7 linked regions of the Xenopus tropicalis genome follow. The main gene of each other region encodes a partner of the protein of the gene in region 4 in a complex. Links are inferred from orthologs where the notes say so. Each region holds a gene or a part of one and is shown on either strand. Other genes may lie near its edges. The genes, in order: cdk2ap1, hat1, chd4, rbbp7, chd5, eed and cdk2ap2.

The links.
Region 1: rbbp7 (region 4) and cdk2ap1 share a complex: the UniProt entries of both Homo sapiens proteins name them as parts of the nucleosome remodeling and deacetylase (NuRD) repressor complex. The link is inferred for Xenopus tropicalis from reciprocal best matches to the Homo sapiens genes RBBP7 and CDK2AP1.
Region 2: rbbp7 (region 4) and hat1 share a complex: the UniProt entries of both Homo sapiens proteins name them as parts of the type B histone acetyltransferase (HAT) complex. The link is inferred for Xenopus tropicalis from reciprocal best matches to the Homo sapiens genes RBBP7 and HAT1.
Region 3: rbbp7 (region 4) and chd4 share a complex: the UniProt entries of both Homo sapiens proteins name them as parts of the nucleosome remodeling and deacetylase (NuRD) repressor complex. The link is inferred for Xenopus tropicalis from reciprocal best matches to the Homo sapiens genes RBBP7 and CHD4.
Region 5: rbbp7 (region 4) and chd5 share a complex: the UniProt entries of both Homo sapiens proteins name them as parts of the nucleosome remodeling and deacetylase (NuRD) repressor complex. The link is inferred for Xenopus tropicalis from reciprocal best matches to the Homo sapiens genes RBBP7 and CHD5.
Region 6: rbbp7 (region 4) and eed share a complex: the UniProt entries of both Homo sapiens proteins name them as parts of the PRC2/EED-EZH2 complex. The link is inferred for Xenopus tropicalis from reciprocal best matches to the Homo sapiens genes RBBP7 and EED.
Region 7: rbbp7 (region 4) and cdk2ap2 share a complex: the UniProt entries of both Homo sapiens proteins name them as parts of the nucleosome remodeling and deacetylase (NuRD) repressor complex. The link is inferred for Xenopus tropicalis from reciprocal best matches to the Homo sapiens genes RBBP7 and CDK2AP2.

What each region holds. Positions count from the first base shown.
Region 1 is NC_030677.2:161,142,306-161,144,852, forward strand, and holds part of cdk2ap1 (cyclin-dependent kinase 2-associated protein 1), read left to right. Parts: intron 1-1,416; coding exon 1,417-1,543; intron 1,544-2,547. UniProt on the Homo sapiens protein: Inhibitor of cyclin-dependent kinase CDK2. Also acts as a component of the histone deacetylase NuRD complex which participates in the remodeling of chromatin.
Region 2 is NC_030685.2:67,598,447-67,602,453, forward strand, and holds the start of hat1 (histone acetyltransferase type B catalytic subunit), read right to left. Parts: upstream 2,801-4,007; 5' UTR 2,744-2,800; coding exon 2,683-2,743; intron 657-2,682; coding exon 585-656; intron 1-584. UniProt on the Homo sapiens protein: Histone acetyltransferase that plays a role in different biological processes including cell cycle progression, glucose metabolism, histone production or DNA damage repair. Coordinates histone production and acetylation via H4 promoter binding.
Region 3 is NC_030683.2:10,084,815-10,088,833, forward strand, and holds the start of chd4 (chromodomain-helicase-DNA-binding protein 4), read right to left. Parts: upstream 2,801-4,019; 5' UTR 2,723-2,800; intron 1,374-2,722; 5' UTR 1,271-1,373; coding exon 1,192-1,270; intron 1-1,191. UniProt on the Homo sapiens protein: ATP-dependent chromatin-remodeling factor that binds and distorts nucleosomal DNA. Acts as a component of the histone deacetylase NuRD complex which participates in the remodeling of chromatin.
Region 4 is NC_030678.2:94,690,838-94,695,040, forward strand, and holds the start of rbbp7 (histone-binding protein RBBP7), read right to left. Parts: upstream 2,801-4,203; 5' UTR 2,706-2,800; coding exon 2,690-2,705; intron 793-2,689; coding exon 648-792; intron 1-647. UniProt on the Homo sapiens protein: Core histone-binding subunit that may target chromatin remodeling factors, histone acetyltransferases and histone deacetylases to their histone substrates in a manner that is regulated by nucleosomal DNA.
Region 5 is NC_030683.2:98,649,840-98,653,827, forward strand, and holds the start of chd5 (chromodomain-helicase-DNA-binding protein 5), read right to left. Parts: upstream 2,801-3,988; 5' UTR 2,502-2,800; coding exon 2,438-2,501; intron 1-2,437. UniProt on the Homo sapiens protein: ATP-dependent chromatin-remodeling factor that binds DNA through histones and regulates gene transcription. May specifically recognize and bind trimethylated 'Lys-27' (H3K27me3) and non-methylated 'Lys-4' of histone H3.
Region 6 is NC_030678.2:168,816,792-168,820,291, forward strand, and holds part of eed (polycomb protein eed), read right to left. Parts: intron 2,414-3,500; coding exon 2,321-2,413; intron 819-2,320; coding exon 753-818; intron 25-752; coding exon 1-24. UniProt on the Homo sapiens protein: Polycomb group (PcG) protein. Component of the PRC2/EED-EZH2 complex, which methylates 'Lys-9' and 'Lys-27' of histone H3, leading to transcriptional repression of the affected target gene.
Region 7 is NC_030683.2:59,556,217-59,560,341, reverse strand, and holds the start of cdk2ap2 (cyclin-dependent kinase 2-associated protein 2), read right to left. Parts: upstream 2,801-4,125; 5' UTR 2,774-2,800; intron 2,661-2,773; 5' UTR 2,560-2,660; coding exon 2,499-2,559; exon of another isoform or gene 2,482-2,498; intron 1-2,481. UniProt on the Homo sapiens protein: Acts as a component of the histone deacetylase NuRD complex which participates in the remodeling of chromatin.

The sequences.
Region 1 (2,547 bases), on a different chromosome or scaffold from region 4:
CCGGCGACTGCTCTTGTTGCCAATGGAAAGCGGGTGACTGAACCGCCATGTCGGTTCTTACCCTAAACGTGTTTCCTAGCCCTGCTGTATTTATTTGAATTAGGGTGATCGGGCACCATTTCCCTTAATAGCTCTCAATGCTATCTCTTCTCTTAACCAGAAGTCAGCAATTGTTGACAGCATTATAGTGAGCTTTGTCAGTTGTGAATATAAATTTATGTCAGCTGGAATAGGAAGAGAAACATCAATTAACAATGCAGATGCTATTATGAATTGTGGTCCCAGAAGCTGCTTTTACTTCCGGTTTAAAGCAGAAACAAACCTACAAACATTTTTACTCTGCCTGGTTCCTGATTTCTAAAAATGATTTTGGGGAAAGCAAATAAAAAAACAAAGGGCAGTAGAGGGAACTTTACAGGCTGTAGAGTGAGTTTACAAAACAATACCTCTCCCTTTCATACTTCTTCTTGCCTTCCTGTATTATTTGCTTTTTAGCACAGGTTTTCAAGAGAGCAATATCTCCGGGAATATCATCTTAAACCAACAAATGTATTTTTATTTTACTTGTAATATTGGTGTGTAGGCAGCCATCTCAGTGCATTGTGTGAGTCTAAGCTTTCAGAAAGAGCCAGAGCTTCATATTAGAACTGCATTCAGGAAAACTATTGTTTCTCTTACTCCCATGTAACTGGAGGAGTCCCAAGCCAGATTTCTCAAGGTCCCCATACACGGGCCGATTCTAGCTGCCGATATCGGTCCCTTAGACGATTCGGCAGTTAATCGGCCCATGTATGGGCACTACCGACGGGCCTGCCCGACCAATATCAGGAGTCGGGTGCTATAGCCCCGAGTCTCACACTTAAATCAGATCTAAATCAGATGTGTAGACACGAAAAGGTTTGTAGGTGGGGGATATCGGGAGAAGATCCGTTCGCTTGGCAACATTGCCAAACGAGGGAGGGGTGTGATATCACTCCAGCTCAGCAGTAAAGTGTGACTGAAGCACAGGTCACATGGCTGTGGCACCCTGGAAAATAAAGAATATGGCTAGCCCCATGTGAAATTTCAAAATTAAATATAAAAAGACAGCCCTTAAAAACCAGGAACATGCATGGGTGGGGCTTTTTATCCAATATAAAAATAGGAGCATGGATATAACGCCTAATTCAAAGCTTTATTAATGTAACATGGGAGGAAGGTAAGAATAAAGTTTGGAGATGTGAGGAGATCCAAGGATTTCTTTCACTTCTGCTCAGATATGCTCTTTAGAGACATCAGGCTTGTGAACAAAGCAGTGCTATTTAGCCAACAGTGTGAATGACCAGTTGAATATCGGTTTATTTGCTTGTGCATAACACCCATTAATGACTAGTGGGTTGTTTTTTACTTGACCACATCTGGAATCTTTTATTGTAGGTTTCTAATAGTAACCAGGTACCTCAGAGCAAGTATGCAGAGCTTCTTGCCATAATTGAAGAGCTGGGTAAAGAAATTAGACCAACATATGCTGGCAGTAAAAGTGCTATGGAGAGACTTAAAAGAGGTAAGAATAATATATTTTCCATGTCATTTATATTTCGTTGTTTTCTTATTAAATAACAATGAAAGATTAGTTATCTGGGGGGTTGATTTGTTGGGTATGTCCAGAGAACCTTATTTGTAAGCTTGGAACCAGGGCTAGCATTTCTCTTTGCAAAGAGATGCACCAGCTCAGGGGACTTGTCAGTAGAACGCTGTGGTATCATCCTTGTCTATATTGCCAGTGCTGGACCAGAGCACATTTTACCAGGCCATTGCATCTTCTTCCAAAAAAAAAACAAAACGCTACGCTGTAAACAAAAACACTTGTTCAAAGTCCTCCTCACAGTAAAAAGTCATGCATCATATCATGATGTGCTTATTGTTTATGATGGGAATACTATTTTTATCATCTAAGACAGTGCTGTCCAACTTCTGTTGTACCGAGGGCCAGAATTTTTCCGACCTACGTAGTGGAGGGCCGATAATGGAAGCCAGTTTTGACCACTCCCCTTTTTGAAACTGCACCCACTTGAAACCACACCCATGTTATCACATGACCATACCCATATTAATGGTTGTAGTACAGCAAAAACCTGCCATACTCTGCCTGCCCTACCCTGCCTTTGTGTGTGCCATACTCTGCCTTCCCTACCCTGCCTGTGTGTGCCATATTCTGCCTTCCCTACCCTGCCTGTGTGTGCCATACTCTGCCCGCCCTACCCTGCCTGTGTGTGCCATTCTCTGCCTGCCCTACCCTGCCTGTGTGTGCCATACTCTGCCTTCCCTACCCTGCCTGTGTGTGCCATACTCTGCCTGCCCTACCCTGCCTGTGTTTGCCATACTCTGCCTGCCCTACCCTGCCTGTGTGTGCCATACTCTGCCTTCCCTACCCTGCCTGTGTGTGCCATACTCTGCCTGCCCTACCCTGCCTGCGTGTGCCATACTTTCACTGTGTGTGCCATTCTTGGCTGGTTTGTGCCAAACTTGGCCTGTGTGTGCCATACTCTGCCTTCCCTACCCTGCCTG
Region 2 (4,007 bases), on a different chromosome or scaffold from region 4:
AGGAAAAGACGAGCAACACGCTTTTTAAAAATCGCAGTGACTATATATCCCTGTGGGACATTAGCCTAAGTGTTTGGATTTTACTTTCCAAGATCTGATTTTACTCAACTGTGTGTGTTGCAGGGGAACCTCAGGGGATTCTAGGGACAGGAGGCAAGATCGTGGCTTAGCGCTCAAAAGAATAGTACCCCCCTTTTTTTTAGTTAGACCCGCTGAAAATTATAAGTAGATTGCAAATTTGCTGCATTCAAGTGTTTTTAATTGGTTTAATTTTATACTTGAGTTTTTTAATAAATCAGTACAAATTTGTTTGGTTAATGTTTTCATATTTTTTTCTATTTTGAAAAAACGAATTTTGATAATTAGGCTTTATTGTATCAAAAAAATAGCTAGTTGTTATTGTTTTAGGAATTTCACTGATATTAAAATGGCAATATATTCTGCCTGTTTCATAATGTTTTATACATTTTCACCAGAACATCCCAGTTAAAGGGAGCAAAACCATTCTAAATAAAATCTAATTTTACACTCCATAAAGTGTATATTAAAGTCAAGTTAAGGTAATAAACTGCATGATAACATACCTAATTTTAGCTTTATTGCTTCATTTGTGTCACATTTGTACTCGGCTAATTTCTTTTCCATAGCAGAGAGACCTAAAGAATAAGCAAGCAATAATTAGGGCAGCCAGTTAATAATTTTAGATAAATATGTATATTTGCACTTATGTATGATTAGATGCAGTCAAAATATCTAAAAACTCATAAAACTAATTGTGGGTTTGCAGACATTTTACCATCGCCCAACAATGTAAAAGCACTTTCCTATTTCAACACTTAGGGGCTGATTTACTAACCCACGAATCCGACCCGAATTGGAAAAGTTCCGACTTGAAAACGAACTGTTTGCGATTTTTTCGTATGTTTTGCGATTTTTTCGGATTCTTTACGAATTTTTCGTTACCAATACGATTTTTGCGTAAAAACGCGAGTTTTTCGTATCCATTACGAAAGTTGCGTAAAAAGTTGCGCATTTTTCGTAGCGTTAAAACTTACGCATTTTTCGTAGCGGTAAAACTTAACGCTACGAAAAATGCGCAACTTTTCGCGTAAGTTTTAACGCTACGCAAAATGCGCAACTTTTTACGCAACTTTCGTAATGGATAGGAAAACTCGCGTTTTTACGCAAAAATCGTATTGGATCCGAAAAATTCGTAAAGAATCCGAAAAAATCGCAAAACATACGAAAAAATCGCAAAGTACCGATCATTACGAAAAAAACGCAATCGGACTCCATTCGACCCGTTCGTGGGTAAGTAAATCAGCCCCTTAGGGGCAGATTTATGAAAATGTGAGTTTAAAGCTAAATACATAAGAACTCACCCACGTTCTATTCATTCCTATGGGATTTTTAGAAGAGTATTTATCAAATGGTGAACTCTAACTTCCACTCATTGATAAATGCACTTTTAAAAGTCCCATAAGAATGAACAGAACATGGGTGTTTATGTATTAAGCCCTAAACTCACTTCTTGACAACCAAGGGGAGCCCGGATTTTAAAGTTATCAAGGTAAATAATTCTACTTTAAAGTCTTACATATACATACATAACAATCAAACTATAACTAACAGTCAAACACGCAAGAGCCTGTAAAATTATTGCCTCTTCCATTTCATTTTGTCATGTTTCATAAAGCAAAACACTTGAGTTGGCATATTAAATAAACATTTAAAAAATAAAATGTCCCCAAGGGACAAAATGTAATCATTATATTTAAGTCAATGCTTACTATAAAAAAAATAATGGGATTGTAATATTTTTATTTTTGTAGAGTTGTTATGTATTGCTATGAAAGTGGGTACAATAAATTAGGGCTTAACCCCATACAATGTTAGTAATATACAGGACACTCGCTCCCTACACTGAAGGTGATGTCTATTGTGAACCAGAGGGGTCTTAATTGGAAAGAACATTGACCGAAAAATTAGAGTGGGTTTATAAGAAAGCCAAAAGCCCAACAACAGTTTGAGATCTCAGTATAAGTATGATCCCAATGGTGGCAAAATAAATATATATATTCGCCGGTGGGATGGCATATGAGGCGCCACAATTTCCCGAAGTCGCCTTGAGAGGAAACTTAGGCAAATCGCGGCGCCGCGTATGCCACCCTACCTGCGACTTACATTGTAGCCGGTGGGATGGAATTGCGGGGAGATTAGTCGCGGTGCAAATAATCTCCGTGTGTCACGGCCCATACTCTGCTAAAAAAAATATTTAAACAGTAATTAAACCCAATAGGATTGTTTTGGCTCCAATAAGGATTTATTATATCTAAGTTGAGATCAAGTACAAGGTACTGTTTTATTATTACAGAGAAAAAGGAAATCATTTTTTAAAAATGTGAATTATTTGGTTAAAATGGGTGTATGGGAGATGATTTTTCCATAATTCGGAACTTTCTGGATAATGGGCTTCCGGATAAGGGGTCCGATAACTGTACTCCAAGAATGTATATAATTCTGTATGGGACATTTGGCAGACATTTGCTTTCTTTGGTCAAACTTACATCAAGCAAATAAATTAGATTTGATTTGCTATAGGTTGCTTTACTTGTGCCTACTATTCACAACTATTCCTGTAAATCAAGCATATAATGTACTGTATATATTTGTAGTATGTACCTAAAAGGCTATCTGGTAATCTGGTTCTTTCTGTTTGGGCCTTGTACTCTTCATTTGCCATCTGACTTTACAGTACTTCCTGGTTGTTAGGCGTATCAGTTGAAATTTCAAGTTTGACAGCTGCAGGACAAATAATTTAAATAATTCAATAACCACAACAAAAAAAGAGAAGATAAATTTCAAACTGTGAGGAATAGAGACTTATACAGACAAAGGAGTTTCTATGTTTTTATTGTAAACTTGAAAAAAAAAAAAGCAGGACATTACGTCTCTCTTACTGATATTATTATCCCTTTCAGCTGATGAAAGACAATGATAATAATTCTACAAACTTTTCAGTGAAATAAATGGAAAATGCCACTCACTGTACATGAAAAATTGCTTGCCCAAAGCTATACAACATCAGTAACTGTATATAATATAATAATGCAACAGGTGTCTATATTTCCTTCCTACCATACCATCATTTCTTCAAGGAAGTTACGTTTTACAAAGTTAACATGTGTAATGCACAAATTGATATTTCTCTGTTGCAGTTGCTATCCAATGGAGTACCAATTGGTGATGTGCTGGCTGACCAGCACCCAACCTGGGGAGTCAGTAGTATTTGTAGGTATGAGTCCAACCCTGCCCATCTCTGACGTCATGAAGGGAGAAAGTTCCAAATTACGGAAAGGCCATTTTCTATAGACTCCCATTTTAAGCAAATAATTAAATTTTTTATAAATGATTGACTTTTTCTCTGTAATAATAAAACAGTACATTGTAGTTGATCCCAACTAAGATATAATTAATTCTTATTGGAGGCAAAACAATCCTACCGGGTTTATTCCCAAGGTATGGACATCCAAATTACAGAAAGATTCCTTATCTGGAAAACCCCAGATCCCGAACATTCTGGATAACAGGTCCCATATCTTCAGAGAACACAGTGACCTGTTTAACTTATAATAAGCAAAAGCCTAAAGGACCATAACTAGAAATGCTGTATTTTGTACACTGATCTTACTGTATAGGTATGGGATCCCTTATCCGGAAACCCATTATCCAGAAAGCCCGTCTCCCATAGACTCCATTTTAATCAAATAACTCAGAATTTTAAAACTGATTTCCTTTTTCTCTGTAGTAATAAAACAATACCATGTAATTGATCCCAACTAAGATATATATATATAATCCTTATTAGGTGCAAAACAATCCTACTGGGTTTAATTAATTGTTTATTGTTTTTTTTAGTAGACTTATGGTATGGAGATCCAAGTTATGGAAAGACCCCTTATATGGAATACCCTTGGTCCCGAGCATTCTGGATAACGGGTCCTATA
Region 3 (4,019 bases), on a different chromosome or scaffold from region 4:
GACAACTGCAGGAAGTGGCTCCCCTTCCTCGCCAGCCTGCCGGCAACTACACGGGAAGCCACTTTGCTTCTGGGGACACTGTTTACACTTTACATGCTTTCCACAGACCCAGAATCCGGCATTTCCAACACACACCATAGCCAATAAATACAGAACATGCCACCATCTGTTTATATGGCCAGCATAGGTGTGAGACCAATCCCCAATCCAGGGCACAGAGGTCAGTATTTATAATGGATAACCCCATACGACCAGAGCCGCAACACTGGCTGGATCCCTAGGAACAACAGTCATTTCCAGGGGCCATTTACCTGCTTTGTGGTTTAGGGCAGACAGCTACCATGGGGAAGGGGGGGGGGGGTATGCCAACAGTCACCCCCCCCAGCACTATCTGCATTGCCCTTTCAAGCTCTGCTATTTTAAAAACACTTTCACAGAATTAAAGAAATTTGTTATTGTAAATAATAAAAACAAATAAACGGAGGCTGGAAGGTCCGGAGAGAACCATAACCAGTACTCTTAAAGGGTTTACAAAGGGCCCCAAGGAACCCACAAGGCAGAGCTATGTGCACAAATCCAGGCATCAAGTCCTTAAAGGGCCAGAAGCGCCAGAAACTGATGCAGGCCCACAAACACTCATTTTGCTTAACAACTCAATACTTCATTCCCTTTGTGACACCCAAATGTATACATAAATGGCGTCATACTGGAACCCAGAGAGCCAGTACAATGTACACACCCTGAAGCAAAACAATGCCTGGGCTGAGCCCACAACTGCCTAAATGCACCTTTACAAAGAGCACTCTATACAGTATTAGCCAGTAGACATCTGACAGCCAATCAGTTCAGGCCACAGACCATACCAAAAAGGGGTTAACAAGCAGTTACCCATATGCCCAGGAGGCCTAGACCTGAGTCCCTAACATCAGTCCCAAAGATGATGGAACACAGGAAATAGTATAAATAAATTGCCATATTGAACCCGGCGTCCAGAACCAGCCAGGTCACTGTGGGCTCTGTCCCAATGGAAGGCCTACACATTGTTATATATACAACCCATGCAAATTCAACACTGGCTACTAGAGCCACACACCAACCTACAACACACACTATGGGAAATCAATACAGACACCTCCTTTCCCACTTATAAAACAGGCACGACACACACGGGTCCGTTTCCGGTTCTTTTACCTTGATGGATGCTGCTGTTGAGCATCACTTCAATTTCACCGTCGCTGCCGGGCGAAGAAGGTCCCAGACTGGAGGCCATGTCCAAGACGGAGCAAAATGGCACCAGGGGGTGAGAAGTAGCAGCAGAGAACAGCAGGCGATGTTTGAGGTGGGGGGCTCACTGTTTGGCACTGGACAGGGTGCTGTGAGGAGAGACACATGGGTAAGTACAAGCTTATTTTATTCACAGAACTATATATAAACCCATAGGCCCAAATGTGCCATCAGTACAGGCCCGGTATCTGCTCCAGTGGCACTAGGCTACTGAGAAGCCATGCTGGCCAGGTAATGTGTGGTGGCACAGAAACAGCCGACGTCACAATTAGGAGGGGATGCAATTAGCAAAGGCCTCACATCATACAGCAGCACAGGGACGGGGAAGGACAAAGGACACATTAAATAAGCACAAGCTTGTAGTTCAACTACATCCCTCCAGTTGCCAAGGGACGCTGCTTTGTTTCTATAGGCCAGAAGCACGGATCTACGAGTGGCTATGAGAATGCACACAGACTCACGCCATTGTGCTCAGTATCACAGAGCCGGACACAGCTCCCATGGGCCATACATCCCCTGGGGCAACACGGAATGGATCCAGCTTGCCAAGCGCCAGAATGGGTCACACGAGTTCCAGATGGTATATCCCAGAGGATATATATTACACAGGGGGCTTGCAGCCACTACACATGGTACAGAGACACTGGCTAATACTGGGGCTACAGACCTATGTGGGGCATAGACTTGTATGGGCTACTGGCCCCAAGTGGCCACTGCGGCTACACAGGACTATGAAAAGGTTCCAGAAGGGCCACAATCCTGATGGTATAGGGGGGGGGGGGTAGATCATGGTACAGTATAAGGAGGGGGGGCACAGGCCAGGGGTCCATGGGCCCGGTACTGAAGGTACTGAACCCATAAGGGGGGACACACATGGGCCGGTACCAGGCCAGTACCGAGTGGGGAACACATGGGTTAATAACAGAATGAAATGGACTAATATGAGGCTGGTAGTGAGGGGGAGGGGAGGGCTGGTAATGAAGGGGGGCAGTACTGAGAGGATCCATCTGGGTCAGTACCAGGCCGGTACCGAGGGGGGCACACCGGGTCAGTACCAGGCCGGTACCGAGGGGGGCACACCGGGTCAGTACCAGGCCGGTACCGAGGGGGGCACACCGGGTCAGTATCAGGCCGGTACCGAGGGGGGCACACCGGGTCAGGTCCCGGCAGAACACAATAGAAAGGCAGGGGACGCAGTTGTGGCTCCATGAGGCGGCACTTGGGGGGCCGGAAGTTGGGAGTACCCGGCGGACTGCCGGAGGGACACCCCATGTCACCCACTCCCCCCCCCCTCCGGCCGCTGCGGGGAATAGACACCCCGGAACTAAGCCTGACAGAACCCCCCGCCGGACACACAATCCCGGTAAGTTCGTGAAGGAGCCCGTAGCCCTCCCGAGCCGGGCCAGCCGCCTCTCCCCCCCCAGAGCCCCTCACATACCCGCTCCACATGCGCTGCCTCCAGCCGGTGCCTCTCCCGCTCCTTTCTCCCCGACACACCGGCAGTGATGGTAAAAATCCCGCCCCTTCCCTTGCCCCCGCCCAGTTACCATAGCAACCAGCGCGTTGCCGGGGAGATGGGCGGCCCCCGACATCCCATAATAACACGAGAGAGCCTGCCATCCCATAATACTCCATCTGGCATCCCATAATAACATGAGTGAGATTGACATCCCATAATACCTCCCGGCATCCCATAATAACACCCAGGGAGCCTGACATCCCATAATAACCAACTTCTGCCATCCCATAATAACCTAAGGGTGCCTGACATCCCATAATATGTCCTGCTGACATGCCATAGAGACAAGAGACACAGACTGACATCCCATAATAGTCACACTGGCATCCCAGAGTAAGTAACATTACCCTCAGCATCCCATAATAAGTCCTTCCTATCAGAGTACCTCTCCACATTGTCAGGTGGTTCCAAATACAGGGTTCCTATGGCCCTGGACTAATAGCTTCTCTCCAGGGTAACACTGATATACCTGGGCAACCTCCTGTATGGGCCCCATAATATCTGTGGCCCTATAATAACTGGAGGCCTTCATAATGTTTTGCTTCTAAAATATACCCTAAATAGCATCCGGTCATCTGTGGCACACAATTCTGGCTACATCTGTTCCTTGTATCCCGATAATGGAGTCCTGTAATAATAAAGTACCTTATATATACGTGCAAGTAACTTTATACTACTTACTACTACTAGGGATAAATCTCAGTATGCCTTCAGCTTCAGTGACAACTCCCTGCCTTGGCCACTAAAGTACCTTATATATATGTGTGCAAGTAACTTTATACTACTTACTACTGCTAGGGATAAATCTCTGTATGCCTTCAGCTTCTAACTTGGCTACTATAAATGTGCTACCGGTAGTAAGTTTATACTATCTACTACCAGGAATAAATCTCAGTATCCCTCAGCATCAGTAACTAAAATGGTTACTGAAATACCTCATAAATGTGCCATTAACATTATAACAGGATCCTCTGAGGCCAGAGGCAGACATCATGGTACTAACTAGCAAGGCCAGGCTAATATTCAAGATAGGCCCTGGCAAGTAACACAGAGGCCCAAACAGCCCCCCCACAAGCGCAATAGATAGTGACTGTCTTTTGGCATGTTATAGTAGCCCCTCTAGCATTTGTCAGAATCTGCAGATTGCCAGTCCAGGCCAGCTAACTAAGTATAAATCACTCAGTAACTTCTAAATTGGCTATTAAAGTACCTCATA
Region 4 (4,203 bases):
GCAAATTTAGTACTGGAATTAAGATATAAGTATTGTGGTACGGATACTGTTCACTTAATAAATATGTGCAAATGTAATTTGCTTCTTGTTGCGCTTTGTATACAGTATACACAGTACACATAGACAAGATGAAAAATGTTAATACAATTAAGCCCCTAAAAATTTAATGTTAGATATTTGGCCCACTTTGCTGAAAATAAGCACTGATCTAGAAAATAAAATTTAAAGGCAGCGGCAATCTGTTAAGTATGATATAGATTTTTTAATCTTAGATACTACCCACAGCTCCTTAGGTAATTTAATAATGTTGAAATCCAAAAAAATAGGAAAAAAGCTTCAGCAGGATAAAGGGTATTGACCCGAAACATGTCGTGTTACCACAACCCAAAATAACTGGTTTGCAGTAAACCTGCTGAAGTTTTTTTCCTATTTTTTGCATTTCTACAATTGTATTTGGTTGCAGCACAGAGCAACAACTAGGAACTAAAGTTTTTTTTCACAAGTATTTTATACAAAGTTCATCAATCATTTTTTATTTTCAATTTACTTATGTTGTATTTAAAATGCAATAGGTGTTAACCATGCTTTAAATATCATGTAAAACAACTAAAATTTGCTATTAAATGAATTTAAAAATAAAAAATCACCTAGTCACATCCGGGAGCCACTGAACTGTTAGACTTGGCCATTCAAGTGCATGGGTCATAACCAGGTCATACAGAAATGGGGTATTTTTTTTCCATATCTTATACTCTTCATTGATGACACGTTCTTCCACTGTATCTTCAAACACTAGAGAGAAAAAAAAATTATAAAATGTTTCAGAATAGAATGCATTACTGTTTGAATTCAGTAAAAACCATTAAATTGCTTAGTCAGGTCAAACAGACGTACAAAAACTTGGCTGTTAACAAACCTCTCAGCACTGATTGCTTGTAAACATTTACATGCTGCATAAGGTGTGCATGTATAACTAGGCAGCCAATGTATTGTTGTTGAACCAGAGTTGCTTCAATGTAAACATCAGATAATTTATTAAGTAAACTTAATCCAACATCATTTGAGTGACATATTTTCCCCACTGTGCTCTACCAGAAATAAGAACTACACAGCATAGTATAGTAAGTTGGGTTGAAAAAAGACATACGTCCATCACGTTCAACCATAATGCCTATATATAACCTGCCAAACTACTAGCTGATCCAGAGGAAGGCAAAAAAACCCCATCTGAAGCCTCTCTGAATACACAGACGGAACAGCTACACCAAGTGGAGTAGGTGGCACCGGTGATTAACTAGCATGGTTGGAAGAAAGCAGCATTGGTTTGCTGGGCAGACCCAGATCTATAGGATGCACCATAACATCAGTCAGTGCCCATATAGCCAGTGTCCAGCAAGACACACCGCAAGTTCATTATCCCTTTAACAAAAAGATAAAGTGATTATTGGAACACTTATCACAACATTCATCAGTATCAGCTGGCATTTATCTACCTGTACTGTAACCATAGGAGAACCCTGTACAGGTATGGGATCTATTATTATTAACACTTATTTATAAAGCGCCAACATATTCTGCAGCACTGTACAATAAGTGGGTTTCATACATTGGACATACAGAGTAACATATAAAGCAATAAATAACCAATACAAGAGGTGAAGAGAGCATAATAATAATATAATTATTCCTTATTGGATGCAAGACAATCCTATTGGGATTATTTAATATTTTACTGATTGTTTTAGTAGACAAAGTATGGAGATCCAAAATACTTAAAGATCCTTTATCCAGAATACCCTTGGTACCAAGCATTTTGGATAACTGTACTGTGTTCTCTATTTTGAGATGCTGATCATCTGACACTAGCCCAAGCCCTGTGCATGTTTAACAGTTATGGGCCCTCAAGGAAGAGCCACAGCACCTCAAAAACCTATCTGCCTGCTTATGAGGCACACTTGCCCCTGTAGGCGCAGAAACTTCTACAACTTCAGGCACAAGGAACACATTTCTAATGATTCCATACAAAAAAAAAACTTGCCCGATACCTTACTCATTAGTAAATCACTCAAAAGAACAGGAGGATTTAATGTAAGGAAATGTTTAAAGATGGAATAGGTGTGTGCAGCCTGTGAAGAATTCTACCAGTTTCACCAGACACCAGACAAGCGTATCTGATGCCGTCTGGCCTGTCAGACCAAAGTTACACATGCCATACATTTATTGTGGTGCAAGTAAGAAAGCTCTGGTTCTGTTTCCCAAGAAAGATCAGTCCAACTTTACACAAGGCAATACCTACATTTCTAAATGTGTTTTAACTTAAAATTCTCATCACTTTGTCGATCCCCCATCTTACATTTTTTAATACTGCCTGGCAACTGGCTTGTAGTGGAACTAAATGTAGCGACTTACAGTGCCAAACTATAAACTCCCTCTTCTAATTGAGGGCCCAGAGCCTTACAGGCCAGCAATAGGGACCGTAGCCAGCAAGCCTACGCGGTAGGATAAGGCCTAAGAGAATCCGGTATGCCTCCCATACACACCACAAGCGGTGCAGTAAACAAAGCGGCCACAGCTTCTTAATATAAAACTGTGTCATAATCGGTAGCACCCGGATAGCATGCCTGCATCCCCAGTACCGTCCCTTTAGAAACCCAAAACGTGCTCATAAAGCAGCTTTCTGCCCACTTACTCTCTTTATTCGCCATCTTCTCTACTCCTGTGCAGATGCAAGGGCCGCCGGCCTCGCGGTGACTAAAAACCCAGTGTTCCGCGCTTGTGCCGGTCCTGCTGCAGCTTCCCGCGCCAAACACTCACAAGAAGAAGAAAGACTACCAGTGACGCAGCATCAACATCCCCCGCCAAAGTTACAGACAGGCACGCCGCCGCCGTCGCCTTCGCTTACGCAAGGGCTAGCGCCAAACGCTAGGACAAGGCTGACCAATCAGAGGAAAATAACCTGGTTACGTAAAAGGAGGCGGGGAGGCCGAAAGTTTCGCGGCCATGTTTAATTTTGGCATGGCGTAAAGTAGTAGCGTGTTTTTTTTTCCTAATGTGCGGAGTGAATTGTAATAATTTTAGGTAGTTATTCTGTAGGAAGTATGAACCTATTATACCGATAACATTTGTTTTAAGTAGGAACCTTCCCGTTCTCAAGCAGTGGAGCAGCATTCATTAGGGAAATGTAGAAGATAGAGTTTTCAAAAGCTTGAGCCGAAGGGATGCGGGAGCTTCGTGATCGTTAGAATTGCTATCTTCCACTATCAGAACGAAATGTATTCAGTGCCGCAGACCTCGGGGTTTAACAGCTTAGCCTACAAAATTGGCAGTGGATAGGGTTGCGATTAATAGGAAAGAGGAAAACTCAATTGGTGTTGTGTTCTGGAAAACGTAGATATAGCAGGATAGCCTGGATGGGCTAGGGTGCAAATCTCTTCTGGAAGTAAAAGCCCACCTTCGTAATGCTTGTTTTAAATGTCATTTTTTACTGGTTTGCTACCCTAAGCATACCTCCCAACATTTGAAAAATGAAAAGAGGGACAAAAAGACTTGGAGGCAATTTTGACCCCGCCCATTTTTGTTGCCACGCCCCAATTACCACACCCCATTTTAAAAAGAAATACTCCTTTTATATAGATGAAATGGTGGGATCAGACGCAAATGTGCTATACCCTCATACTGTACTACCTAAGGAAAACAATATAGCAACTCCAACATTAAAATACAAATATAGAGAGAAGGCAATCAGTTATAAGTGAGTTATAACTATGTAGCAGTTTTGCTTCCCCATACACAGGTGTCCCCCGTACACAGTAGCTCCCTCATACACAGTCCCTCCATACACAGTAGCCCCCCATAAACAGTGCCCCCTATACACAGTAGCCCCCCCATACACAGTAACCCCCCATAAAGAGTGCCCCCGTACACAGCAGCCCCCCATACACAGCAGCCCCCCCATACACAGTACCCCCCCATACACAGTGCCCCCTATACACAGTAGCCCCCCCATACACAGTGCCCCCTATACATAGTAGCCCCCCATACACAGTACCCCATAGGCGCTCTGTCTTCGTCTACGACTTCTCTCCTTATGCGGCGGTGCCAGGCCCTTTTATAAGGTTGCACCCCGTGCGTAATGACATCACACGTACGCACGGTGCGCAACCTTATAAAAGGGCCTGTCGCGCTGTGTCAGGAGCCGCATAA
Region 5 (3,988 bases), on a different chromosome or scaffold from region 4:
TCCCTGGTGACCTATAATATCCTTATTATGCACAGTAGGGGATACTTTGTCCATTTTATCTTGTCTTACTTCCAAGCCTATGCCAGGGAGAGTGAATACATGAACAGTCAGTGTTAGAGCACAAAGCACAGCTGGGTTCCTAACAAGCTAATATAGACATGTTCTATAAAATACTGCTCTAATATCAGGACACCTATGAAGGTCATAAAGGTATTGTGAGAAAAAAATGTTTCTCCAGAAAAAGCTAATTCTGAGCTATTTTGGGAAACCTATTCATTTACTTATCCTCATGCCAATTAGAGAACTTTGTATAATTTGTTGTTTATATAGGTATGGGATCATATAAACAGAACATTCTGAATACAGGTCCCATACCTGTACAGTAATATTATTGGTTAATTGCTATGGCACTGGTAATGACAATACAAACTATAAAGATCTTGGTAAAAAGTAGGAAAATGCTTTTTTTCTGGGATAATTAATATATGAAGGACATGATAATGGGAACAAAGGCTATTGTCATTTTTGTATTCTTTAAAAGTAAAAGCCTCCCTTTTTCAATCTCAAAATCAACTAGTTGAGAAAATGAGACAGACATTACGTGACTAACAAACAACCCCCCTCCCAGCACCGTGACGTCACAATAGAATTGCTTTATACCAATAAAATTATAGAGGGGAGAGGCCACTGACAGAGGAACAATGTCAAACAATATAGTATAGTGGGATGCTTAAGGTTTTCTTGCAGTTTTTCCTGGGATTTAATATTTTTTTAAATAGATATTTATACAACATTGAAATTTGTTTTCTGAAGACAGGTGACCCTTAAGGTAGATAAGTTGTAAAATGCCAACTGTCATGTGTTTTTCAAGTTTAGTGTCAAAATATGCTCAGTGACATATAAAATGAGTCTAAATCAGTCCTTTGCATCGCTTATCCAACTTATCTGAACTATGTCATTTTGCTCTGACTAGTTGGATTAAAGTACACCTCGTTCAACTCTATGAACAGAGTTGTGAACAGACATTTATCTGCCTGTTCACACAATGCAATCAAATCTGAGTCAAATGGACCGGAAGCATAGGGCAACTTGTTTCCAGACCACCATACCACCAATTCCTATGTAGATTTCACATAAAGCACATTTTCATGCCATGAGCTGAATCTGGATTACAGCCAAATGATTAAAACACATCTCTTTTAAATCTGGATCAGGCTGTACTACATCAAAATCAAGATGTGCAACTGTGCAGTTTGAGCTGAATCTCATTCACCGCTAGGCACAATCAGAAGCACACAGTAGGATATAGTTCTCTAAAGTGAATGGAGCTGGAGTTCCTGGATGAAGTTCTCCCTTGCTATTTCCCAACAGGACTGGCATTAACAGTGACAGATCCCAATGCCGCCTTCCAGTGCTGAATACATTTTTTATTCTACGCACATGGAAGAACCTGGGCGTGGTTATGTTGGGCAATTAGAACCTCTTTATGTCCAAAACATTACAACAAGGAAAGGGAAGAAAATAAAAACACTTGTCCCTTTGCTGTCTAAAAAAGTATTGCCAATATTCTTTGGGAACAGTGTCCTGTTGCTGCCAACCTAGCACTCCAAATCGATTTCGGACCACGATTTTGTATTATTATTATCCAAGTAAAAGTAGTACACTTTCCTACACTTGATAATAAAGTAACAGGGGCCAAAAATGAAAAGATTTGTTCCAATCATGACATAATATTACAACCATGTTCCAGAAAGGTACCTAGGTTATACAGAAATGATATATCTGTAACAGTTAGATTTTAGCATTATATGAGAAGACAAGTTGTTAGTAAAGTAGGACTTGCAGAGGGATCAGATGGCAGCAATGTGTAGGTTAAATATGACAGGCTGCACCAATACATGCCCAAGCAGCCGCTGAGTGCATAAATAATGTGCTTACAGTCAAATAAAACAAAGCACATCACAGCCATTTTCTCTGCTGCCGATCCATGCAAAGGTTCAGCAATGCAAAGAATAAAAAAGGAAAGGAAGCACAAGAAGCAAAGGGACGGCGCCGGTATTAAGAAATAAATGCTGCCAATATACATGCCTCTCTATGGCTTCCTATTGGGTTTGGTGTGTAATAAGCTCCCTGGTGACTTGTCCCCGGTGGCCATGAATACTAACAGACAATCTTTGTCTTGCTTCCTCGCCCTCCTGCACGGGATTGGAGAGGCGCAAAACTTTAAAACGACAAAGCAATCCTTTATTAACAAAACGAGAGATTTGCCGGTTTCGGTTCCCTCCCTTCATGTCTTGTGCAGCCCCAGTGTAAGGGGCTCTGTTTCCCTCCCCGGCTGGGACCCACCGGCCGCAGCACCTTGCCCTGAGATCCCTGTAATCCTCCTAACAATCTCCATTCAACACTTGGCCCCTCACTCGCTCATTATTCAGCCTACCTGACATCTCTTCATTCTCCATTTCTTCTATCGGGTCCTCTTCAATCCCCAGCGGACCCCGCATATCCCACCTCCTCCTCCCCAGATCAATTTCAGTTTCTTTCGCAATCTGGATCCCAAAAAGGCTTGAGATATTAACCCATAGGGGTGCAGAGGTGCTCCAGCCGCCACTGCCTACCGCTGACTGGAGGTACAAAAGGGTGAGGTTTATTTTTAAGAAAGATGGCTGCCTAGTTTTTTTTTTTTTAAGAAAAGAAAATATCCCCCTTGTCTCTCTCCCTCTCTCTGCCTAAATCCCCCAGCCTGAAAATAAAAGAGAGAAGGAGAGAGCGAAAAAGAGAGAGAGACAAAAATGGAATACACATGCCCAGAATGTGACGTCCAGTCTGGTTACCGTGGCAACTACATCCCATAATTTTGGCAGAACTAGTTAGTCGTGATGCCAGAGGAGACCAAGTCCAGTACTAGTTAGAGAAGGAAGAAGCGTTCGAGAAGAGGATGGCAGGGCTTTGCCAGGGGGGCTGCGAGGGGTGCAAGTTTGTGACTGAGAATAAATGTTAATAATAAGAAGATTTATTTTGCTTGCTGTTGCCACAGGGAAATGAACTTGTGCTCCTTCAGGCTGCAAAGTCGGATGGAAAGTGAATAAATGAATGCCTCACTATACACACAGTGCTGAAGGTACTCAGACTTCTCAAGTTCAGGCAAAGTTGAAAAGTGCTGAGCAAAAAAAAAATCCTTCCTTGCACAGGATTCTAACTGCCTTGTACTTCCCTCTTGGTTCTGAGGAGGATGGCTGCCTGCCTGCATGGCTGCTTCTACTTGTGCAAATTCAAATTAGACTGAAGGTTTTCATCTTTTGGTGTGGCACAGATAGCAGAATTCTTTTTTTGCAACTGGTTTTCATTTTTTGTGGCTTTTAAATTATTTACATTTTTTTTGGTCTGCAGGTCTAATGCTAAGAAGTTAAATCATCTCTGCTTGCTTAGGGTTATTTACCCCCAGGGGCATATTTTTATAAGCACCTGTGGGTATGTGCCTGGGGTAGCAGCTTCAGAGGTATGGCCCTTGTGGGTTTATTTAAAAAAAAATTACCTCCCCAAGCCTGTGCCAAATGAAAGGGACTCCCAAGACAAGACTGCATTCATTTGCCCCTCCAGGCTTGTTGCCACCCCCCTAAGCCTCCTCTGCTCGTCACCATCATGTGCTGCTCCAACCTCAGCAGCCAGTCGGCACACTGACTTCTTGTAAATTTACAGAAATCCAAAATAAGAATGGGTTGGCAGTTGTGGTATGCGCCTAGTAGTGATGTGCAGGCAGGCCCAAAACTCATGGGTTTACCCAACACCCAAATATTCTTTCTAGTCGTTTTGGCCAAACTCTGCTATCTTCCCACCCAGCCCCTAACTTTACTATGACTCACTTCCGTATCTGGTATGTTGTATTTATTGTCTTGCACCTGCTCCTGCCCTAAGTGAAGTCCTCACTAGGCCTAGTGCACCCCCCTCCCTCCCCCCCCGCCCCGTTGCACCTTAGGTACATGCATTTTCT
Region 6 (3,500 bases), about 74 Mb from region 4:
GCAAGTATAAAAGTTCTCATCTGCCTGAATGTAAGAATTAAGGAGAGAAAAAGCTGTACATGGAATCCGTCGCAGTCCCAGACCCAAGGGCGGAGAGGCACCCCAGTTCATGACACCCACAATTCCCCACTGATAGATAATGTCTGAATCATTAAATTAATTGCTCTTACTGACTATTAGCACACTCCCAGTTAACATGAGGGGTCACAAATACCCAGGTTAAAGATTAGGGATGCACCAAATCCACTATTTTGGGATATGGCCGAACCCTGAATCCATCATAAAAGATTTGGCTAAATAACGAACCCTAATTGGAATATACAAATAAGGCTGTGGAATGGTTAAAGAGAACCATATGCAAAGTACGAGGTGAAAATGTTTCAACTTCCGTGTTTATGTGACAAAAAGGTCATGTGACTTAAAGGATTCTGTTGGGCCAGGTCCATGGACTCAGCTGAATCCTGCTGAAAAAGGCCAAATCCCGAACCAAATCCTGGATTTAATCCTGCAGCGCCGGGTTCCTAGGCTCCTCTGCAAAGAGTCTGTATGTTCTCCCCGAGTTTGTGTGGCTTTTTCTGGGTACCCTGTTTTCCTCCCACACCCAAATACATACAGCCAGGTAACCTGGCTTCTGAAACAACTAGTGTGTGTGTGTGTGTGAATGTGATTGGGAACCTAGATTGTAACCGTGAACAACAATTAACTGCAAATTCCAAATATTTTCAGCAAAAAGCAAAACTCGTCAAGGATACGTCGGCGTCCACATAGGACTGCAGCAGTCGGATTTCCCCCTGTGGGTGGCATTCATATAACGTTACCTATGTGAGAAAAACAAACATTCTTAGAACAGAGGGGCCACGGATATGCATAGCGATATCTCGCAGAAATATACAGAAAGCCGGAACACCTTATAATATATAATAGTATATATAGTATATAATAGTAGCAATGTCCTAAATGTCCCTGCCGGAAGCACAGTAAAAGGGGGAGAGCCAATCACAGCCCAGCAGTCACACAAGCAAAGGAAGGCTCCAGTTCCCTATCAGGTCAGCCTAGCTGCTGATTGGTTCCTATCCTACAGTGCAGTGTGCTGAGTGCCACTGGCCCCCCTGCACAGCCCGGGAAAGAAGGCAGCAGGAAGTGGAACAGATGGGCGGGACTAGTGGGGTTTTTGTTGAAATTTCTAATAAATCAGCCCTAAACAGTACATTTGAAAACACATTCCTTCTATGAGTCCAATTCATATTGTTTTTCACACACTATGTCCCCTTTACATCAAAATTTCAAATGAGAAAAACATCCCAATGGACTTGCATTCTGCAACACCATTTCAAAAAGTAGTGTGCCTAGGTGCAATTATATCATCAATAACCAACGCAGACCAAATATTAATGAATAGAAAGCAGGAAAATACAAGGCATCAATTACCAACACGACTGCTGCATTGCACCGGGGCAATAACCCATAGTTTGAAGGGGAGGGATTCCTTTGTTTCACTAGAATGATCTAAGGAAATATCCTTAGATCATTCTAGTGGAACGAAGGAATCCCTCCCCTTCAAACAAAACAGGGATTGTTACTCCATATATAGCAATATATTTAGGCTGGCCAACTACATCAAATATGAATTGTGTGGTCACAGCCTCATTGCACCCCCGCCTAATGGTTTAAAATGCAGTGTTGAGCACAACTTTCCCTTTGTTGCCTCCTAACTAGAAATTCAAAAATAAGCACCAGCTTTGAGGCCACTGGGAGCAACATCCAAGGGGTTGGGGAGCAACATGGTGCTAACGACCCACTGGTTGGGGATCACTGCCCTAGAGCAATAGCTGCAAAAAGCCTCATTAACATTTTTATAAACAAGTTTTTACCTTATACTTGCATTATTAAATCTTTATGTAAAGGAACAGTAATGCCTCCCAGGCAAATTTTTCGTTTTGGCCTCTTTAATCACTTTATTGACACTCCATAAAACTATACATATTTGGCATTGGCACATTCATGAATCATGCAGATTTCGAAATCAGTTTTATTCAGTAAATAGTATCAGTATTTTCACATATAGAACATTTTAGTGATATATCCCTATATAAACACATCTTATGCAAACTGGCAACATCTATTTTTTTTTTTTTAGACCCATAAGAAGTGGAATTAAACAAAACAATTAGAAAGTCCAGGTTCTATAAAAAAAAATAGATGTATAGTTTTACTAGGCAAACTAATTCCCCTTAAGTGAAATGACTGGCAAATGAAAGGGAAACCCTGCCCCAGCTGCCCCCTCATTGTAAATAGCTTGCCATCACATTCCCATACATACCCTGTTACTTCCAACAGTAGCGAAAACCAGCGGGTCTCCCTCCTTACTGTGCCAGTTAAACTGAACCCCAAACAGTGGCTGATTGTGATCTTCCTGCAGGAATGGAAAAAAAAAAACACCATTGCATAATAAGCACAAATTGATTTTGTGGCTGAATAATCTAATGCAACAGAAATTTTCCACCCACTTTACACTAGGAAAAAGAAATGTAAATAAGAGGATTAATCAGCTTGCTAAATAACCTGCTTCAATTTAAAGAAACAGTGACCCCAAAAAATGAAAGTGTATAAAAGTAATTAGAATATAATGTATTGGTAACAACTGGGGTGTTTGGCTCTTAAACCCTACTATAGTTTATATAACCAAAGCTGCTGTGTAGCCCCAGGGGCAGCCATTCAAAGGAGAGAAGGCACAGGTTAGAGAGCTTATCAGTTATCTGCTATGTAACCTGTGCCTTTTCTCCTATTTTCCAGCACGAATGGCTGCCCCCGGAGCTACACAGCGGGGTATTTATATAAACTATAGTAGGGTTTCTGTAGCAAACACCCCAGCTGTACCAGTGCAGGAATGGCTGCCCCCGGGGCTACACAGCGGGGTATTTATATAAACTATAGTAGGGTTTCTGTAGCAAACACCCCAGCTGTACCAGTGCAGGAATGGCTGCCCCCGGGGCTACACAGCGGGGTATTTATATAAACTATAGTAGGGTTTCTGTAGCAAACACCCCAGCTGTACCAGTGCAGGAATGGCTGCCCCCGGGGCTACACAGCGGGGTATTTATATAAACTATAGTAGGGTTTCTGTAGCAAACACCCCAGCTGTACCAGTGCAGGAATGGCTGCCCCCGGGGCTACACAGCGGGGTATTTATATAAACTATAGTAGGGTTTCTGTAGCAAACACCCCAGCTGTACCAGTGCAGGAATGGCTGCCCCCGGGGCTACACAGCGGGGTATTTATATAAACTATAGTAGGGTTTCTGTAGCAAACACCCCAGCTGTACCAGTGCAGGAATGGCTGCCCCCGGGGCTACATAGCGGGGTATTTATATAAACTATAGTAGGGTTTCTGTAGCAAACACCCCAGCTGTACCAGTGCAGGAATGGCTGCCCCCGGGGCTACACAGCGGGGTATTTATATAAACTATAGTAGGGTTTCTGTAGCAAACACCCCAGCTGTAC
Region 7 (4,125 bases), on a different chromosome or scaffold from region 4:
ATAAAACCCCAATTGAAAGCAAAAAAAAAAGGTAAAACCTATTATTTATTTCTCTCATTAAATCGCTGACAAATCTTACTTAAATCATATTCTTTTTCGAGGCCATGGGGCATTAACATCTCCAACCTAGGTATCCTTCTTGCTTCTTTTTCCAGTAAAATTCTCATTCTATTTTTTTTGGGGGGGGGGGGGCATTATCAATGATCAGGAATTTTAACTGTTGCACCTCATGGCCTGTAGTGAGAAAATAAGAGACAGCTTGATTTTTTTTAGTATTAATAGATAGAGAATTTTACTGAATAAAGAAGCAAGATGGATACGTAGTTTGGAGACATTAATGCCCCATGACCTCAATAGAGAATTTGATATAAAGGAGAAGGAAAGGCTAATAAAGAGTTCATCTCAAGATGCAGGTATATCTTCAGTTCTCTCAATAGTGCCCTTAGGTCTCCCCATATTTCTCCGGTTCAGATGATCAGAAGCCTCATAGGAAAAAAAAAAAAAACAACTCCGAGCTCTGTAAAGAAAGTTTCCATAATGCCTCGCTCCTGCACCAAGACCAAGACACTGTACATGATCAGTTTGTAAGACTATGAGGAATCTTCCTGCTGATTGGCTCAGATCACACATTCCTAAGAAGGGGAAGGAGTTCTTAGCATTCTTGAGGGGGGGGGGGAGCAGGAAAGGGGGAGAGAGCTGCCTGTCTCTGGCAGAGAAAAACAAGGAGACAACAAATCCTGTTTCTTTTGACAGAGAACTCAATGCAGCGTTTCTGTGAGTGCTTATGGCTGTATTTACATAGATCTTTCTGATAAAGCTTACTTAGTTTTTACCTTTCCTTCTCCTTTAAGATTTATCTGTGATTTAATGAGAAAAATAAATTATGGGTTTTAAATTTTTGCTTTTAATTGGGGTTTTATGTATCTGTTTTTGTTGCAGGTTGCTTATTTTAAGGATGATGGGGATGGCTTAATGCACAAAAAGCCTCTGAAAGTAAAAATGTTTAAAATATAACAAATGGTAGTTATGTAGTTTGAAATGGAAATATTTCACAATGAATGGTTTGTAATTTACCAATTTTACCAATAGTCACTGTATCACACTATAAAAATGTACGGATATTAGCTGTTTCAGTAGCTTGATAAAACACCAGTGTTGGTCTGAAACATTGCTGTGGGTCAGAACCCTTTTTTCAATAAGGGCTTTTAAGGAGATATTGCAGTGGTGGTGCAGTCTATTACAAGGATGCTAAAATATAAATACATACATACAAGTCCTATTCACTGAACTCAAGTTAAACAAGGAGGTACACTGCCTCTTTAAATGCCAATCACAAGCAAATGCAGGTGGACTTGTCAGACAATTGTTGATAGGGCGGCTCAATTTCTTTGATTTTAGGCCAGATAAATACCCATCTCGATCGGGCAGGTTTAATTTTTCAGTTGGATCAGGGACTGGATCGGCTCGCTGATGCAGTCCCTGAACCAATGGCACCTATGCCCGCCATAGGTGGGCATATCAGAAGATCCACTTGCTTAACAACCTTGCAAAATTAGCAGATCTTACAGTGTATGGACACCTTAAAGGACATGGACTTAATCCCTAAAATTCAGACCAATTCGGCAACGTATCTGCCTGCATCGGTTCATTGATGAAGTCCTCGCCCTGATGGCCTGTATCCTGCTGTTGATCAAATCGTTTGGCCACCTTAGTTGGGCATATCAGTGAAAAAACTGCTTGGATTTTATAATGTATATAAATTATAAATATTATAAAAAATAAATGTATATATATTTTATAATGTATCTTAAAGATAAATCTTAACACTAATAAAACAGTTAAATGCAATAGATTTTTAAAGCTGAAGTAAAATTGAGAAATCCAACCAAGCAACAATAAGTAAATGCTGGCAAAGCCTAAAAGTATGCTTGATATTCTAGAGATTCAGCAGATACAATTGAATTAAAGCAAACAAAAGTCTTGCAGCATTAGAAAAATGGCACACACAGCAATTCTAAGTACAAATTAGAAATAGTCCTTACCCTCAGTGCTGCCACAATCAATTTACCAGTTAGTAAGCAGCGCTAACAGGTAATAATATATTAAAAAATAAATTGTTATATCCTTTTTTGATATACATAGCAATTTCAGGCTTTATTCAGCCAAACTTGTAGTACTGTAAAATGCAAATGTAGAGATCTAAAAGTTGCACACAGGTAATATCTTAAAAATTACTTTCACTGCATTTTCATGTTATTACAACAGTGTACGCAAGTAAACTGTCTCAGACACAGCAATTTCCTTTTATGTGGACATCAACGTATTTTCAGGTGCTGTGTCATTGCCCTTGGGGGTCTGGTGACTATCCCTGCAACACCTACAGGTCCCGACAATTGCCACAGAGCGCCAAAATACCAATAATCTGTAGTCGTGCCATTTACCTTTAAAGAAAACTTTAAAAAAAAAATGTTATAAACCAACCTATATTACTCTGTTACCTGGAGTGCCAGGGGCACTATTACTCCCAGAAGGCGCAGGGGCGATGGGCTTATACGACATGCTTTAACTACTACGCTCACCCTTCGACTTTAGACACCTTACTACCGAGACGTGCCTCTTCCGCAAGGCCGGATTACCCACTAGGCGACCTAGTAAAAAAACTGTCAAAAACCAGTAAATTAACGAACGGAGCCCGGATGTGATGTATCATTTTTTAAAGAAGATAGAAATCCTCAGGCCCTTGGGCTCAAATTCTGCTGACAAAGCAACCTACCATTCGCTTGCTTTGCCTCTGCGTCCTGCGGGGTACTACATCCTGTATTCAAGGACCATATACGTAGGTACGTGCGTCTGACGGAGTGGATGCGGAAGGGGTGAACAATTGCACGCACAGAGTCTGTAGGCGCGACATAAAACTGGTTGCGTCGTCTGCTGTTGGCTTGTGTATGGGGTTCAACACGTTACTGCAGTATTTGTTGGATGAGTTTAAAAAGGGCGATGTTGGGAAGCTAGTCAAAAGTGCTTTGGGTACATAGTAATTTAGTTAGCTGTAAGAGAGAAATTAATAACAATTCGTTTGTTGAATAAATAGTAGCTGCTCCAATGTTTCTGTTTTGTGGTCTTTTTTGTTTGCCACAAGAAATTTTTTACTCCCAAGCATGTTGGTGTAGTTGTTCTCCAGAACCCTTATATCGATGCAAAGATAAGTGTTTAAAAGAAAAACAATATATAGTTTAGTATATTTTATTAACTGACTCCTGATCATATATTTAAATTGTTCATTTAGTTATAAAATGAAGTGCAAAGTGTATATGAGTGAACAGTTTCAACTTTAAAAATGAAAATGCAAATACAGGTATGGCATACCTCCCAAATATTCCGATTTTCGAGGGACAGTCCCTTTTGACAGCTTAACCCGCAGTCCTGAATTCTTACTGGAAAAGTCCTTCATTTCCCTTTGATCTCCTGCACTGAAGCTAAAAAAGATACAAATTTAATTAAGTGTGCTTTTGGCAGAGAGTAGGTCTCTTGGGGGATCTGAGATTTGCAGCTTAAAAGACAATTTTAGCTTTTTCAACAAAACTAATAACACATAAAACAGGACCCCAAAACCTCCAGAAATGTGTTCAACCTTTAAATAACCTGCCAAATTAGTCAAATGGTAGTGGTATTTAGGGGGTGTGGTTTCAAAAATGGGCATAGTCAAAAAAATTTGCCCCTCTTTCTGTTTTCAAAATGTTGAGAGGTATGGTATGGGACCTATTATCCAGAATGGGATTGTTCTGTAATTTGGATCTCCATACCTTAAGTCTGCTAAAAAATCATTTGAATAATGAATAAACCCAATAGGATTGTTTTGCCTCCAATAAGGATTGATTCTATCTTAGTTGGGATCAAGTACGTCGTTCTGTTTTATTATTAAAGAGAAAAAGGAAATCATTTTCAAAAATTAGAATTATTTGATTATTAATGGGGTCTATGGGAGACAGCCATTCCGTAATTTGGAAATAACAGATCCCATACCTGTAGCAGAACATTCATTTATCTAGTTTTCACATAATAAAGTGCAGAAAAACTAAGTTCAACAACACCTTGTTTGTTTATATCTGCTATAGTGAGCAATTA